2 linked regions of the Elephas maximus indicus genome follow. The protein of the gene in region 1 purifies or fractionates together with the protein of each later gene. This does not show direct contact. Links are inferred from orthologs where the notes say so. Each region holds a gene or a part of one and is shown on either strand. Other genes may lie near its edges. The genes, in order: UBR2 and UBE2B.

Region 1 (7,560 bases):
CAGAAAGTAGATTAATGGCTGTCTGAGGCTTGGAGGTTTATGCAGAAATGGAAAGTGACTGCTAATGGATACAGAGATTCTTTTTTAGGGTGATGAAAATGTTCTAAGATTAATTGCTGTGATGGTTGTACAACTCTATGAATATACTAAAACCCACTGAATTGACTGTGTATGAATTTTTTTTCAAATCTGTTAAAATATTAAAGCAAAAAATATATATAGACTTAAAACTTCTACAGCGAATATGTATTTCATTTATAATTGGGGGAAAACAATACATGTATTTCTTAAAACATAATCACCCATTAGAGCACAATATTATTATAATCAAATCTGTGGAGCACAAAATGTAGTAAATAAGAGCTGAGAAGTTTTGGGAAAGTCATAGTTGTTGTGGAATCAATTCTATCAGGAAAATGAGAAGACTGAGAAGAGGGAGCCATTTCCATATCCTAAATTTATAATAATTAAAGCCAGCCTAGATGCTTTTTGTGAGGCATAGTACTTAGGATATATGGGATCACAATAAAGTCCTTTCTCCTCATAACAGAAATAAGAAAAGCGGTGTGTAAATAAAGTGTGGGAAAGAAGAAACTAGCGCTCACTAGTAATCTAAAACGGATGTGATCCCAACAAATTACCAGTATTGTTTATCCTCTCTAACATTTACTTTAAATTGGAGAGGAAACTTTATTAAGTCTGTGAAAAAGAGCTGTGCTGGAGCCTAAGTTGAAAGAATAGTTTTAAGTGCTATGCTAACATAACTAAAATACAGACAGTAATCCTTTACAAAGTAAGGCTAGGCTTTATAGCTGGAGGAATCTTATATTTTCATATTAGTTTGCACCTAATATTTGAAGGAATTTTGTTAATTATTAGAGTAAACATTTTTCTTTATATTATTGGTCAGAAAGCCATTTAAAGTAAACAGAGCAATAGTAAAATGGAATTCAGTTTGTTGATCTTCACAAACTCAAATGAAGTCCAAATTAATAAATTTTTATTGCATTTCCCTTTATTTTCCCCATTGTGTCTGCTTGAGAATTTCACTGCTCAAGAACTAGGAGCACTGGTCTCCAGCACCGTTTCTGTTAACTGGTTTCTTCAGGAACCTCAACAAGTTGGAGAAGCTCTGCTACTCAATAGTTTGCACTTTTAGAATAGGGATAATAGAATATGTAGCCTGCATCTCTGGGCCAACAGGCACTAATATTTGGCGGGATTAAAAAAATTACTTTGAGGTAACTAACTTATTCAATATCAACAGGCAAGACCATGGATAAGGAATAGCTGCCGTTATTATAATATTACTGTTTACTTGTAATGCTGCTTTCATTTTCTTGTTCAAATCTCTTTGATAATTACCAATGAAACGCAGATGGGGGATGTAAATCCTTGGGTTGTTACCACATTAAGCAGAAAGTAAAAGAAAACATAGACTAAGCAACCAAGTCAGGACTGTGGTTAAAACCAACAACAAAAAAACAAGCAAAGAACCATGGATTTCTTTAAATGTTCACCTCTACTCCTGCCTTCACTTATTTCCACCCTAAAACTTCAGTGTCTTCATCAATTCACTCAAAATAACTTCACTGCCCAACAGCCCCACAGTGCCCCCTGCTCAAATTTTTTTCATAACATTCAGACTGTCGACTTGTGTTCACTCCCTTCCTAGTAGTTTTTTAAACTGGAGGCCTTAGAGGTGGGGCCCAAGTTGTTTTGGTCCATTCATAATCAATCTGGACAATCTGTTCTAATGGGTGTTCCCTGTCCTGCTTGGGGAAAAATGCCATCGAGTTTCATCAATCATTTTACAACTACTAGCATATTCAAATTACAGTTTCACTACAATGCTAAGTATCAGTTTGGGGCATACTGCTTCTACTATGCTTTAGCCAACCCTCATATTATTAGCTTATATTTGGTGAAAACTGCTGCCTCGAAGTTATATAACGTTTGTCGTCTATCCAAAGACCATCAACTCCTAGAAAAAAAAAATTTCACCTGCAGCCTCCATCACTACTACTTTCACACATTCACTAAACGTGTCAAGACACTATCTTCCACGCATTCATAAACGTTGTGGACCGACCAAACAGGTTAAAAAGCGCGCTGAAGGGGTTAAGGGAGAGAACTGTGTCGTTTGCATCCCCGGTGCCTAGGGCAGTCCCAGAAACAAAGTGGGGGCTCAGTTAATGAACCTTTTTTGGTGGACAATGTGTATCTCCGCTTATCTCAGAAAACGGAATCGGGAAGACCAAGTAGGGCGATAATACCCAAAACGCTAGGAAACATCTCTTTCCCTCCCATCTTCCAAGAGCTGGAATAAAGGGCAAAGGCCTGCGTGTTGGGGACTTGCGGGAGGGTGAGGGGAAGAAGAATAATGAGAGCTCTTGGGTCAGCCGGGACTAAAAGGGAATGTAAACGCGGCTGGTGCACAGTGCAGTGCTGGCGGCTGTTTGAGAATGAAGAGGGAAGGAGAGAAAGGAGAGGGGAAAAACGATCGGTGGCCTGCCCGGGCCGTTACTCCACAAGGCCAGGCCGGCCCGGTCGTCACCCCAAGTCAGGACCAGACTGCACCAGGATTTCCAGGAGTGGGTTCCTCCCCCCGGCGCGGCCAGCGAGGGCTGGACGTCCCCGCCCGGGTCCGGCACTCACCCCCGCGGTTTCCTCGGCCGAACATTCCAGCAAACTCCGGTCGATGGCCTGCACCTCGGGCTCCAGCTCCGACGCCATCTTCCCTTCTCCTTCTCCCCAGCGCTGACGCCGCTACCGCCGCCCCGAGGGCCGCGGCCTCGCCACGGCCCCGGCGGCCGCGACCGCTACCCTCGCCCCAGGCAGTCAGTCAGTCAGTCCCGGAGCCGCCCAGGCGGCTGCGGGGGAAGCAGCAGAGGGAGAAAGGCGCGGTGAGCCGGACAGGAGGGACGGCGGTCTTCTGCGCTCCCGCCCGGGCTCAGCGCCTAAGCGTCAAGTCACTGCTTCGTCCCTGCCCAGGGGAAGGACACAGAGGAACCCAAACCTGGCACCCTTGCTCGCTACTACCGTCTCCCGCACCGGGAAAGGGGCAATAACACTCAGGAGGGGAAGAGGAGGATACTGGGAACTGTAGTAGATCTCAGCACAGCACAGAGAACGGTGACACCCTTATAGGGTGCCCCACGAGGGTATTGTGGGAGTTGTAGTCCATTTCTAACCGGAGACTGAGCAAATGGCAGATAAGGGGGCGGGACTTTCTGGACGACTAGAATCATGGGAAGAGATTAGTGGCATGAGACGCCTACCTGGGAAAGGCACGAACCCAAGACCAAACCAAACCTCTTGTCGTGGAGTCGATTCGGATTGATAGCGACCCTGTAGGACAGAGTAGAACTGCCCCATAGAGTTTCCAAGGAGCGCCTGGTGGATCCGAACTGCGGACGTTTTGGTTAGCAGCTGTAGCTCTTAACCACTACACCACCAGGATTTCCGGAAGAGGCACCAGAACACGATAATGTGGGAATTGTAGTTTTATCCCATACACCCAATTGTTCATTTTTGTATTTTCAGCGCTTTGAACAGTGCCTGGCACGTGGTAGACACGTAAGTACTTGTCAAAGCCTGACTTAAGGTAGGCACTCAAATGCTTGTCAAAAGAATGGATGAATTGCATTCTACTCCTGTAGAATTCTTTGACCCTGTCATCCATCATCCTCTCTCCCCTTAGACTAGTACCGAATTGAACATTACCCAGGTGTTTTAAGGTTTTAAAATATGTTTAAATGCTGTTAATAGAAAAACTTTTCAAGCAATTTAGTTATGACCGCTTATCAAGATTACGAAAATTTCCTGCAAAGGAAAAGGACTGTATCAGGCCAATTTGAAGATTTACTCTTGGTAAGGACATTTGATAGACATAGACAACCATTGTTAGATTAGATATTTAAAAAAATTCTGTTTGGTTAATGGCAATTAGATTCTTGACTGACAGTTGGGTGAATGGGTTTCTTAAAACAAATCTTCAACCATTTAGAGTTTATCAGAAAATTGGTTACACGTTTTATCAGGAGTGCTAATTTTTTCCCAGAAGGAAGTTGTGAGTTACATTACGCAAAAAAAAAAAAAAAAAAAAGTTCTGACCCAGACCAAGTAGGGAACATGTTTTTGTTGTTGTTATAATTTGGAAATTTTAGAATCTTACAAGCATCCAGGAAGAGAAAACACAAAGGTTCCATAATCAGAAGCACTGGGTGCCTCAACCTTTCAGATATACATTTGAGATTATTATATTTTCAACCAACATTTCTAGGTATTTGTGTTGGGATTGGTGGTGATTCAGATGATAAAGTTTGCCATATTTTTAGGATAGTTAAAATGTGAGCTCCATGTAGGCAGTAACTTTCTGTTTTCACTTATGTACATATGTTCCTAAAACAGTGCCTGACGTATTAGATTCCCAATACACCTTGGTTTTTTTAACCTAATAATGCTTTGTTATTTTTATGACTGCATAGCGTTCTGTGCTATTCCATGAATGTATCGCAATGTGTTTAAACTATTGATGAACTCATTGGTTCTTTCCAGTGTTTTGTGTGATTAAAAGAATATTCAATTAAATTCCATTTTCATATTGATTGGCAAGCTAAATTTTAGGTATACCCACAAAACCCACTGCTGTCGAGTCGATCCCAACTCATAGCGACCCTATAGAACAGAGTAGAACTGTCCCATAGAGTTTGCAAGGAGCGCCTGGTGGATTCAAACTGCTGGCCTCTTGGTTAGCAGCCATAGCACTTAACCACTATGCCACCAGGATTTCCAAATTTTAGGTATAGCAAAGGATAAATTTGTAGAAGGGAGTTTTCTGGGTGAAAGGAAATAACGTAACTGGTGAAAGGGCAAAAGGTACAAACTGAGGCTCAGAAGGGGCAGGACTGTAAAAAGGCCCACTTGGGTGCCACCTGTTATACCCAGTCCCAGGCACAGGACCTTCCCTATGCTCAGGGCTTTCCACCCTGGCTCCTCACTGGGCCTAGACATGGTCTCAACCTCCAGCTCATTACCTACTTCCCTCTCTCTCCCCCTGCAAAAGATACCCATCTATGTACTATTTCCCACAAAGCCCAGTCTTTGGCCATATTCATCCTTCCATCCACCCATCAATTCATTCAGTGCATATTTTCTGAAGCTCCTACTAAATGCCAGTCACATTCTTGTTACTGGCAAGATATCAATTAGCAGGCACAGTTACTGCTTTCATGGGCTTATATTTTAGTGGAAGAGACAGACAATAAAAAAGTAAGTGAGTGAATACATTATACAATTACAGATATTGAGAAATGTTCAAAGAAAATAATTAGGGTGATCAGAGAGGTATATCTGAGGAGGGGAAAGTTGAGCTGAGTCTTGAATGAGAAGAAAGGGTCAGTCATGTGAAGATCTGGGACAAGGGCATTCTAGGCAAAGTAGACAGCAACAGCAAGGGTTTTAAGGCTGGAACAGACTTGGCATGAATCAGGAACAATAAGTTTCATGGCAGTTAGTTTTCATATAAACTAATAAATGCTATGCCAGCTGGTAACAGTAATAGGTATATTATTCCTATTCTCAACTAGCATCTTTCAGATAAGTGTTAATACATTTCAGTTTAGATACAACAAAACTGAGACTTATGAAGGTAAGATAACTTTCCCAAGGTCACTGTGGTAGGTTGACTGCAGTTTAATGACCCTCATTAGGGGGCTTCCTGTAGGCACTTCCTTTACAACGTGACTCTACCACTCTTTACATCAAGAAGTGGTGTCTACAAAAAAAGACCAGACTTACTGGTCTGGCAGAGACTAGAGGAACCCCCGAGACTATGGCCCCCAGACACCCTGCTAACTCGGAACTGAAGCCACTCCCAACGTCCACCTTTCAGCCAAAGATTAGATGGGCCTATAAAACAAAAAATAACACGTGAGGAACATGCTTCTTAGTTCAAGTATATGAGACCAAATGGGCAACACTTGCCCAAAGACAAAGGTGAGAAAGCAGGAAGGGACAGGACAACTTGATGAATGGACGCAGGGAACTTGGGGTAGAAAGGGTAAGAGTGTTGACACGTTGTGAGGATTGCAACCAATATCACAAAATGATTTGTGTATACATTTTTGAGTGAGAAACGAATTTGTACTGTAAACTCTCACCTAAAGCATGATAAAATAAAATAAAGAAGTGCTGTGTATTTCCCTACCCCTTGAATCTGGGCTGGCCTTGTCACTTGCTTTAGTGAATGGAATGTGGTAGAAGTGATAGAATAGCAGTCCCAAACCTAAATCCCCAGAGGTGGTCTTGCATGCTTCCTTCGAGTGCCCACTTTCTCCCTAAGAACAAGTCTGCGCTAGCCTGCTATAGGATGCGAGACCACATGGAGGAGAATCTAGATACAGCTGGCAGCCAGCCAACTCCTAGAAGCAGAGGCACCTAACTGACCTGTGGGTAGCTGCAGACACATGAGGGAGACCAGAAAAAATGGCCTAAATTGCCAACCTGCAGAATCATGAATAAATGATTAATTAAAAAAAAAATTTTTCATGGCAAAGCATATAAAACATAAAATTTGCCATTTTAAGTATTTTTACATGTGCATTCAGTAACATTTGTTACATTCACAATGTTGTGCAACCACCATCACTATCTATTTCCAAAACTTTTTCACCCCAAACAGAAACTCAGAGCTCATTAAGCAGTAATTGATGTTTTAAGCCACTAAGTTTTGGGGTGATTTTTAATGCAGCTATAGCCATCAATTCAGTCACACAGGTAAGGGGCAGAGCTGGCCTTTGAACTCAAGTCTTTCCAACTCCAAGGCTCATATTCTTTTCATGCAATGCTGCTTCTCCAGTGTACCCATTTCCAGGTAAGTTAATTTATACATATATATATATTTTATATAATTAACCAAGCTCATGTACAGTAGGCCAAAAGCCAGGGAAGGCTCCCTTCTCCTTGTTGGGTCCTATATTATTTGACTCTTACAGGCCATGGATAAAATATTGAGAACTTTGTGTTTTTGAATTGTTTCAAAAGAGTGAACAAAGACATTTCTATGTTAGGAAAGCCACTTCAAGATAGGTTCATTCATGATTAAGATCTGTGGACACATGCTCTGCTTTTCTTGGGGACAAAGTTACCTGGTTCTCTCTTTTATGTCTGAGATGATTAAAATGATGACAGCCAATTGCAATTTTTTTTCCCACCTCATTTGGGGCATTGAGAGTGAGTTTCTTCTAGTCTTAATAGAGATGTTATAAAGCAGCTGGCATACCAAAAAGTCCTCAGGGAAGAAAAAAATAAAAAGATTTTGAAGGATACATTATGTATTCCATACCTATTGTTACTGATACAGGTTGTTTCCTGGGAATGGGATCTTGTGGCTCCTTGTTCCCTAAAGTTAGCTTGTCATTGCTACCTTTTTTCCGGATGTGGAAAGGACTGTCACATGGCATACTGTGAGGAAGAATTGCATCTGGTCATTATGTGATGGAAAATGAAAGAAGAGGTCTGGTGTCTGACTGCTTTTCAAAGACATTAGTAAACTAT
Region 2 (7,858 bases), on another chromosome or scaffold:
AAGATAATTATGACATCAAACCACAGTGATTTACTTTCCAACAGTTAGTAGTTCCCCAAAATCACTCTTGTTCAAATTGGCTAGGTATAGCTGATGTTACCAAGAAAGTCATTTTCTTTTGCTCTTTTTCTCTTGCCTCCATGTCCCAATTTCACCTTTCCTAAGCAGCAGCACAAAGTTTATTATTTGCAAGGCACATTCAGAATTAAAAAAAAACAGTTAACAGTCTGAATGTAATGGATGGTCACTTTAAAACAGTGTTTTGCTTCTTTAATTTTTTCTTTCTAGTCTTTTTTTTTTTTTTTAACGTATACTCTTGTAACTGATTCTGTGGCAACTGAGAATTTCTTTTACCAACGCATTCCTTCAAAACAAATCTGAATTTCAAATTTTAGTCCAAAACCCTAGTTTAAAAAAAATGAAAGAAAAAAAGGATCAAGTCCAGGGGCAAAAAAAAAAGGCATTAAGGAAAATTTAAATTAAAAGGCATATATGTAAAACATATCATTTGTAAGAAGGCTGTTTATCAAATGGATCCATTCAGTTATTTTACACTGGGCTGTGAAACATTTTCATTTACATTCTCGCCATAGAGAAAGTTCACAATGTTTTTGGTTCCAAGCCTTTTTACAGTCGCAATAAAATGTGAGCAGAATACTTACCTGGTACATTTTGTACAAAAGAATTTATCTTTTCTCCTTTATTATTCAATTTAGTTTCAAATGGTATTTTTCATTAAGTAAAACCAAAATGACTATAAAATCAATATGTAATGCTAAAGCGCAAATATATTCTATGTAAGTGCCAAAATTCTTAACCAAAAAATTTTTTCTAATTTATCTTGCAGTTTCAGTCCTTCAGGTCCCTGATTCCACCTCAGTCTTTTTTCTAGACATTTGTTACATATTAACTTTTCTCAAGAATCACCACACCTATTGTTACCTTTCAACTCACCCAAATATAACAGCGTTCCACTGCATGATGTTGTTTTCAGATGGTGCGCCACTAACACCCACAGGTGGGTCCTCTTGCAACCTAGGAATCCATAGTAGTAACTTTAAAAATCAAACACTAAGGACTCCAAGGAGGCCAAACGAAACACCGACGTTCTCTGTATCATCTACTTTGGCGACACAAACTAATTTCCTTAGCTTATGTTGAGCTGGAATGAACTATACCTGACTTAAAAAAAAAAAGGTATATATACTTATTAAATATCTCTGCAAATTTTCTATAAGTCCCAAGGGCTTGGGATTCATCCTTTTCAAGTATTTTCAAGGTTAAGATATGATCTCTTGAAAAACTGATGCATACAGACTGTCCTCCTGAACAACAAAAAAAACCAAAAGCAAAACACACAAACTCAAGTGCAAAAATATTTTTACAGAACAGGATCTGCTGCTCTAAACAAAGATTGAAACTCCTAACCACAGCTACGTGTGCAACACACACACACAACCTAAGTGTAAATGCTAAAGGACTGCAAGTGCTTATTTATTTTTTGCTCATATTCTTTTAATTAGGAAATCAGTTTTAGGAAGGAGAGCACCTTTATCACATTTGCTTCAGTTAGCGATGGCATTTATAGTAATCTGAAGCTTCAGTTTGGTCTATTTTAGGGCTCTATACTAAAAACCAAATCATACCCGGCAAACCAGGAGATCCAATACAAATTCTCATAACCCCTGGAAAACTACCAAGGGGGCCATGTGTTCAATCCAGAATTAAGCAGAGAAAAACAGTAAGCAAGTAGGGGAACAACGGACAGGCTCTGCAAGCTTTAGTATTTGAATTCCAATCATAAGAGTTAATCTGAAATCTACAAATTTCAAACTTTAGAAAGACTTTTGGACTAAACAAAGTATATTCTTTTAAAGACTGTCATCTAAATAAAAGCTCTATCATCTATCAATTATTATCATATGTGGCATGATACTTTCCCCTTTAGTCCACATAAAAATGGTTTTTACTCCACCTCAAGGATATTAAGCCACGAAGAATAAGACCCTTAGAGAAACTACACATTGCTTGACGCTCATCAGAGGTGAACAGCTAAGAGAAGCTCTGAGTGATTTCAGCTAAGTTGGGCAAAGCCCGAAACAATAGTTTCCAAATGCCTCAACTACGGCTTTATAATGGGAAAGTTGGGAGGTTACTTTAACCTTTTACACTCCCCCAGAAAACTGTGGCTTGTGCAGAGAATTGCGGTACTAAATCCTCTCACCCCTTATTTTTATTTTTCTCAACCTCCAGGTATTCAGTAAGAGGTAAACAACTGAAAAAATCATTTCCTCCTCAGTAACCGTAACACCTCCTAACAAAGCCCTACTTTACAAAAAGAGGCCCAGGGAGTATCAGGTTAGCGCCCGTTTGACAGAAGGCATGTTTCCAGAAGGATTTGGAGATTATAGATAGGGCTTTATACACCAGAAGGCACTGGCACCGGAGCTGGCAGCCCGGGGCCCAGGCCTCCCGGCCAGTTCTCAAGGTCCTTTCAGGCAGGCGGGGGCAGAGTCGGGTTTCGCGGGATGGGTTAGCAACCTCCGGGCCTCTCACTTCAGACCCCACCCTCAATGCTGAAAGAAAAGGAATGACGAGGCGGGGGGAGGGGGACCTTTACCCCAACCTCTGGCCCTCAAAGGAGAACGTGGAGCTGTTGAACAAAGCTGACGAGTTCAGCAGACAGGGAACAAGCTTCTGCATCAGAGCTCACTTTGGGGAGGCAGAGAAAGGGCGCAGTAGGGTGCAGGGGCGGGAGGATAAGGTTTGAGCGCTTGGACAAGACGTCGGGAAGCTGGCAGAAGTGGGCAGCAGGGAACCTTAGGCCGGCGACAGCCACCTTTTTTGTTTACTTTTTTTGGCTAAGATTGAGAGGGGGAGGATATCGAGATTTCTAACGCCGCTAAGGAACAGCAAGAGGGAGTGGGTGCGAAGACTACCACTGGGTTCCCGTCGATCCCGCTAGGGCCCACAGCCAGTCCCCTTAGGGTCGTGAGGGGAACGTGTCCGAGGTCCCCGCCCTGCAGCTCCATAGCTTTGAGAAGGAGCCGTCGGCCAGGTGAAGGTGAAGGCCCTTACCGCTTGAAATCCCGCATGAGCCTCCTTCGGGCCGGGGTAGACATGCTCCAAGCTGCCCCGCGGTCAGTCTGAAAGAAAAGAGTTCCGCACAGCCCCCCCCACCCCCCGGCGCGGCGGCCGAGTCACTGTGGGTCACCGCCGCCGCGCTGCACAAACAACCCTGCAATGACGTCTCCCTCCGCCGCCTCCAGATCCCTCCGCCCTCCGCCAGTACCACAGAGGGAGGGGAGGGGGACAAGGTGAGCGAGGGCGGGATGTAGGAGAGCACGTTCCGGGAGCCTCTCAGCAAGGACCGCTCTCATTTTGGCTTCCTGAACTCCTCGACAAGTTGGTATTCTTTATGCTTAGACCCATTGGATTAAAAGCCATCGTGACCGAAACACCACCCTGTTTCCCCCCTTCACTGACTTAGGCTCGGCTGGGTGGGGAGAGACGGACGCATCCGGGTCCAGGGACTTCAGGGAAAGGAGGTGGAATGACGTCAGGTCACGTGACACCGGCGGCGTTGTCAACAATCCACCCCTGACGGGGAGGGGTGAGGTAGCTAGAACCACGCGTCCCTATGACGCGATTAGAATGGATCACGTGGGACCGCCGCCTGAATCAGTCTCAGCCAGCTCTATGATGCGGGTACCCAAGTTTATGGGTATTAGGGTGGGGTACACCTGTATCAGTCTGTCTCACGTACAGGGACTACATTATCGATGAGGTCATGCCGGAAGCAGGTTTGTCTTTCTAAATCTTTAAAATGGAGCCCAAAATAATTTGGACATAAAATTCCCTCTCGTTGTTTCAGTGGTTAATCAGTCTGGCTCTTAAGGCAAAGTAGTAGTGTAGGGACTTTCTCGATCTTTTAATAAGCGCAGCATTAAATGCTGAGGCCCACACGAAACAAAATCCCCCGAAATTCTTCCTTAGGTCATCAAATAGCCTCTTTCTTTTGCAGTGGAGTTTTCAGGATTGGAAATTCTGGGCAAAGATTAAAAAACGGTGTACAGATTGTCCACGGCTTTTTTGTTGTTGTTGTTTAAAATAAGCACGGAATTAAAAGTTTTGTTTTTCCTGTATGGTTCTCTCATTTGAGGACTTGTGTTAAGAATCCATGGGTTGGGCTACGGTAGGGAATCGTATTTGTCAAGAACTGCGAGGGTGCGACAGGTGATCTGTTGTTAAAGAAACCTACAAATACGATTCAGATCTGCGGGAGATGTGCTGACATGGGTGGGACTTATTTATATATCTAGCCTGAGAGAACTCATTTCTGGTTTTCTACACTAGCCAAGCAAGGCCCAAATGAGCAAGAAGTGTCCATCCTGTGCCATTTTCTCTTCACTGAGTTTCCTCCAGCTATAGTCTTTAACTGACTCCAGGTCTTTGTTGCTCAGGATGACTCTCAGCAATTTTTCATATTTACTTGACAAATTCTTCAGCTCAAGGCAGGGAAATTTCTTTGCATTGTATCAGTCTTTCTTCAGCTTGCCTGTATTTCCAAGAAACCAGGAAGGGTTAGCTTTACTGGTACCTCCCTTTTTTCAAATCCTGAATTCTATCGTTAGCTTTTAGTAACAGCCTTGGTGATCAAGCTAGCTAGGCCTAACTCTTGATAGGTCCTGCTATTCAATCACAAATGTGATTCTCTAAGTCAAAAGCTGATTTTTTTTGCCTTCCTACCATATTCTCCACAGCTAGGGAGTAAAACAGACGGTATAGGGTACCACGCAGTGAAATGCTAAAGAAAAAAGGTTAAAGAGTTACTTTTTAAAAACCCTGTGATGTAATTTATCTAGCAATTTTAATTGTACATGGTTTTCCAAAATGAAGTAACATTTTTGACAAATTCTGTCAAGGATCTTCATAGTCTTAGAGCGATGTATAAGGAAGAATCATTGGCTGTTCAGGTCTCCAAGCCTGCCACAGCCTATTTGTAAAATGAATAATTTCAAGCTAAAACTGTATAAAACCCATTGCCATCGAGTCATTCCAACTCATAGTGACCATATAGGGCAGAGTAGAACTGCCCTGTAGGGTTTCCAAGGAGTGCCTCGTGGTTTCGAACTGCCGACCTCTTGGTTGGCAGCTGTAGTACTTAACCATTACTGCTGCCAGGGTTTCTGAAATTGTATAGTCTTATCAATTCTGTGGAAACCCTGGCAGGAGTAGTGGTTAAGAGCTACAGCTGCTAACCAAAAAGGTCGGCAGTATGGAATTGACTCGACGGCAATGGTTTTGGTTTTTTTGTTTTGAACAATTCTGTGGCTCTAGATTGTGAGCTCACTGAGGGCAGAGACCAGTCTGATTCATGTTCTGTTCTTTACAAATATTTAACCCACAATAAATGTTAAATAAATATGCTTACAGCAAGTCTGGGCAAAGATTAACTTTGACACTCATAGATTACAAGGATTTTTAAACATTGTTGAGTAACTTTTCAAAAGGAAAGACGACTCTGAATATTTTGCTAATGAAAAGGAAAACCAGGATCATTCCTCCTCACTCTCCCCACTCAGAAGCTCTAAACCGTAGCAGCATATTAGAAACACTTGGAGGAACTTTTAAAATACCAATTCCTTTACCCCAAACCCAGTGCCGTCGAGTCGATTCCGACTCATAGCGACCCTATAGGACAGAGTAGAACTGCCCCATAGAGTTTCCAAGGAGCGCCTGGTGGATTTGAACTAGGGTCTCTTTGGTTAGCAGCCATAGCACCTAACCACTGCACCACCAGGGTTTTCTCCTTTACCCCATCCCAAGTGAATCAGAATTTCTGGGAGTGAGGACTTCTTAAAAGCTATCCAGGTGTGATTTTAATGTCCATGTTGGGGTGGGAAGCACTGGGCTAGATTTATTAGATAACAATATTAGATAATAATTTATTTAGAGGAAGCATGGTGGGATTTGACCTTATACACTTATCTCATTTTACAGAAGAAACTAAAACCCCGAGAAAGGCAGTACTTCCTAGGTACTTGTTCGGCATTACTCTAGTTATTCATTTTTAAGCTGTCACTACAGTTGAACCCTATGTCCAGTCCTTAAGCAATTAAACACTGGCCCCTTTTTCTCTGTGCTATTGCATGTCACTCCCTGTGTGTGGTAAAATCCTTTGAATTACTTTCTTCAGGGTCTTTTCCCCAAGGGGCTATTTTAACATGTAGTGAGGGACTTTTTTAAAAAGGATTACTAGGAGTTGGAAGAAATTTTAAAGAGAGGTGTTCACGAAATATTCTTGATGATATACCCGTTTAAGGATGAATGTCAACACCTGAGGTCAAACTCAGGTCCATGGAATAGTATTGTACTAAGTAACTTAAAAAACAAAAACCACACAAGACTTTCTTGGAAGTCTCGCTTTACAAACTATCACAGCTTAATGACAACAGCCATTCTTTTAGCGGCGGGTGTTCTCCAGCCTGGTGGCGTCCGCGACGCATGCCACACACTCATGCTGCTGTCAAAATGTGGATGCTTCCCATCCCGCTCAAAACTAACCTTGTGAGGAGGCCCCGAGTTTGAGCGAAGCCAAACCCACCAAGACCCCAACGGATCCCCAAGCAAGCTTCCATTTTAGCGCGCTCCAGGAGCCCTTTCCGCTTTTTCTCACTTTCCTTCCGGGTCGGACCCGGCCGATAATCCGGTCTTGCGCACTAGGGGCAGAGTGTTGTCGCTGCGTTGCCATGGTAGCGGGCGGCTGCGAGCTGGCGGGGTTGGCTGGCAGAGGCGGGTCCGTGTCCCGTTGCCCGGCTGGGACTGCGCGGAGCTAGGCTGACAGGACTGCAGAATGGGCTGAGGCGGCGGTGGCTGCCCGGACTAACTCGACAGCGGGGTGAGGGGCGCGACTCCGGTCCAGGACCTTAGACGTCGGATTTGAGGAGCGGGCGGGACTTATGCTTTCCTCAGTCCCGGGCCTGATGTGTGGGAGCTGCAGTGGTGCGGGGACCTAATATTTGACGAAGGAATGACAGGAAGTGTTGGGACTACACACTTCATAGATGGGTGACACGTAGTAAGGGAACCTCAGTGTTAATGGGAATAACCGAGGCAGCCGAGCCATAAGTTCTGGTAAGGGCAGGAGCCCCATAGGAACACTTCATTGGCGGGCTGGCGGAGTGCTCAAAGACAGATTCTGTGGAAAAGATTCGTGATTTTTTCTATGTTTCTGTATTTGAAAGTATGGGTTTATTTTGGAAATGCATTATCCAGCTTGAATAAATAAAACTATAAACGTTTAACATTTTTTTTTCCTTTATTTCTCTGAGGAAGTAGAAGCCAGACTTTAAAATGGAGATGTATGAAACCCTTGGAAAAGTGGGAGAGGGAAGTTATGGAACAGTCATGAAGTGTAAACATAAGGTTACTGGGCAGATAGTGGCCATTAAGATATTTTATGAGAAACCAGAAAAATCTGTCAACAAAATCGCAACGAGAGAAATAAAGTTTCTAAAGGTTTGCTTCTTTTGCTTAATTGTTCTATAAATCATAAGAGAAATTGTTAGAAAATAAAAAAAATTGTTTACAAGAATATTTCAGTTAACACATGTGCTAAGACATTAACTGAAAAACAAGTGTGATACTCCGTTTATTATCTAACATTTTGTAATTTTATAGTGATAAAAGATGCATGTGCTTGTGTATAACTTAACAAAAGCTATGCCAAGTGTTGTGAAATAATTACTCAGAAATATTCTAGTATAATGAATATTGAATAAAAATGACTGCTTTGTGCAAGGCATTGTGCTAGATTCTGGGACTATAAAGATGTAAGAGATAGTCCCTGCCCTCA

Evidence for each region.
Region 2: the proteins of UBR2 (region 1) and UBE2B purify together in Homo sapiens (affinity purification with western blotting; 3 studies listed by BioGRID, with this or other methods). This does not show direct contact. The link is inferred for Elephas maximus indicus from reciprocal best matches to the Homo sapiens genes UBR2 and UBE2B.

What each region holds. Positions count from the first base shown.
Region 1 is NC_064819.1:107,010,990-107,018,549, reverse strand, and holds the start of UBR2 (E3 ubiquitin-protein ligase UBR2), read right to left. Parts: upstream 3,145-7,560; 5' UTR 2,737-3,144; coding exon 2,659-2,736; intron 1-2,658. UniProt on the Homo sapiens protein: E3 ubiquitin-protein ligase which is a component of the N-end rule pathway.
Region 2 is NC_064820.1:146,804,925-146,812,782, reverse strand, and holds the start of UBE2B (ubiquitin-conjugating enzyme E2 B), read right to left. Parts: upstream 3,234-7,858; 5' UTR 3,123-3,233; coding exon 3,079-3,122; intron 1,036-3,078; coding exon 955-1,035; intron 1-954. Other genes in the region: CDKL3 (cyclin-dependent kinase-like 3), read left to right, coding at 3,783-3,803, 7,342-7,521. UniProt on the Homo sapiens protein: E2 ubiquitin-conjugating enzyme that accepts ubiquitin from the ubiquitin-activating enzyme E1 and transfers it to a E3 ubiquitin-protein ligase. In vitro catalyzes 'Lys-11'-, as well as 'Lys-48'- and 'Lys-63'-linked polyubiquitination.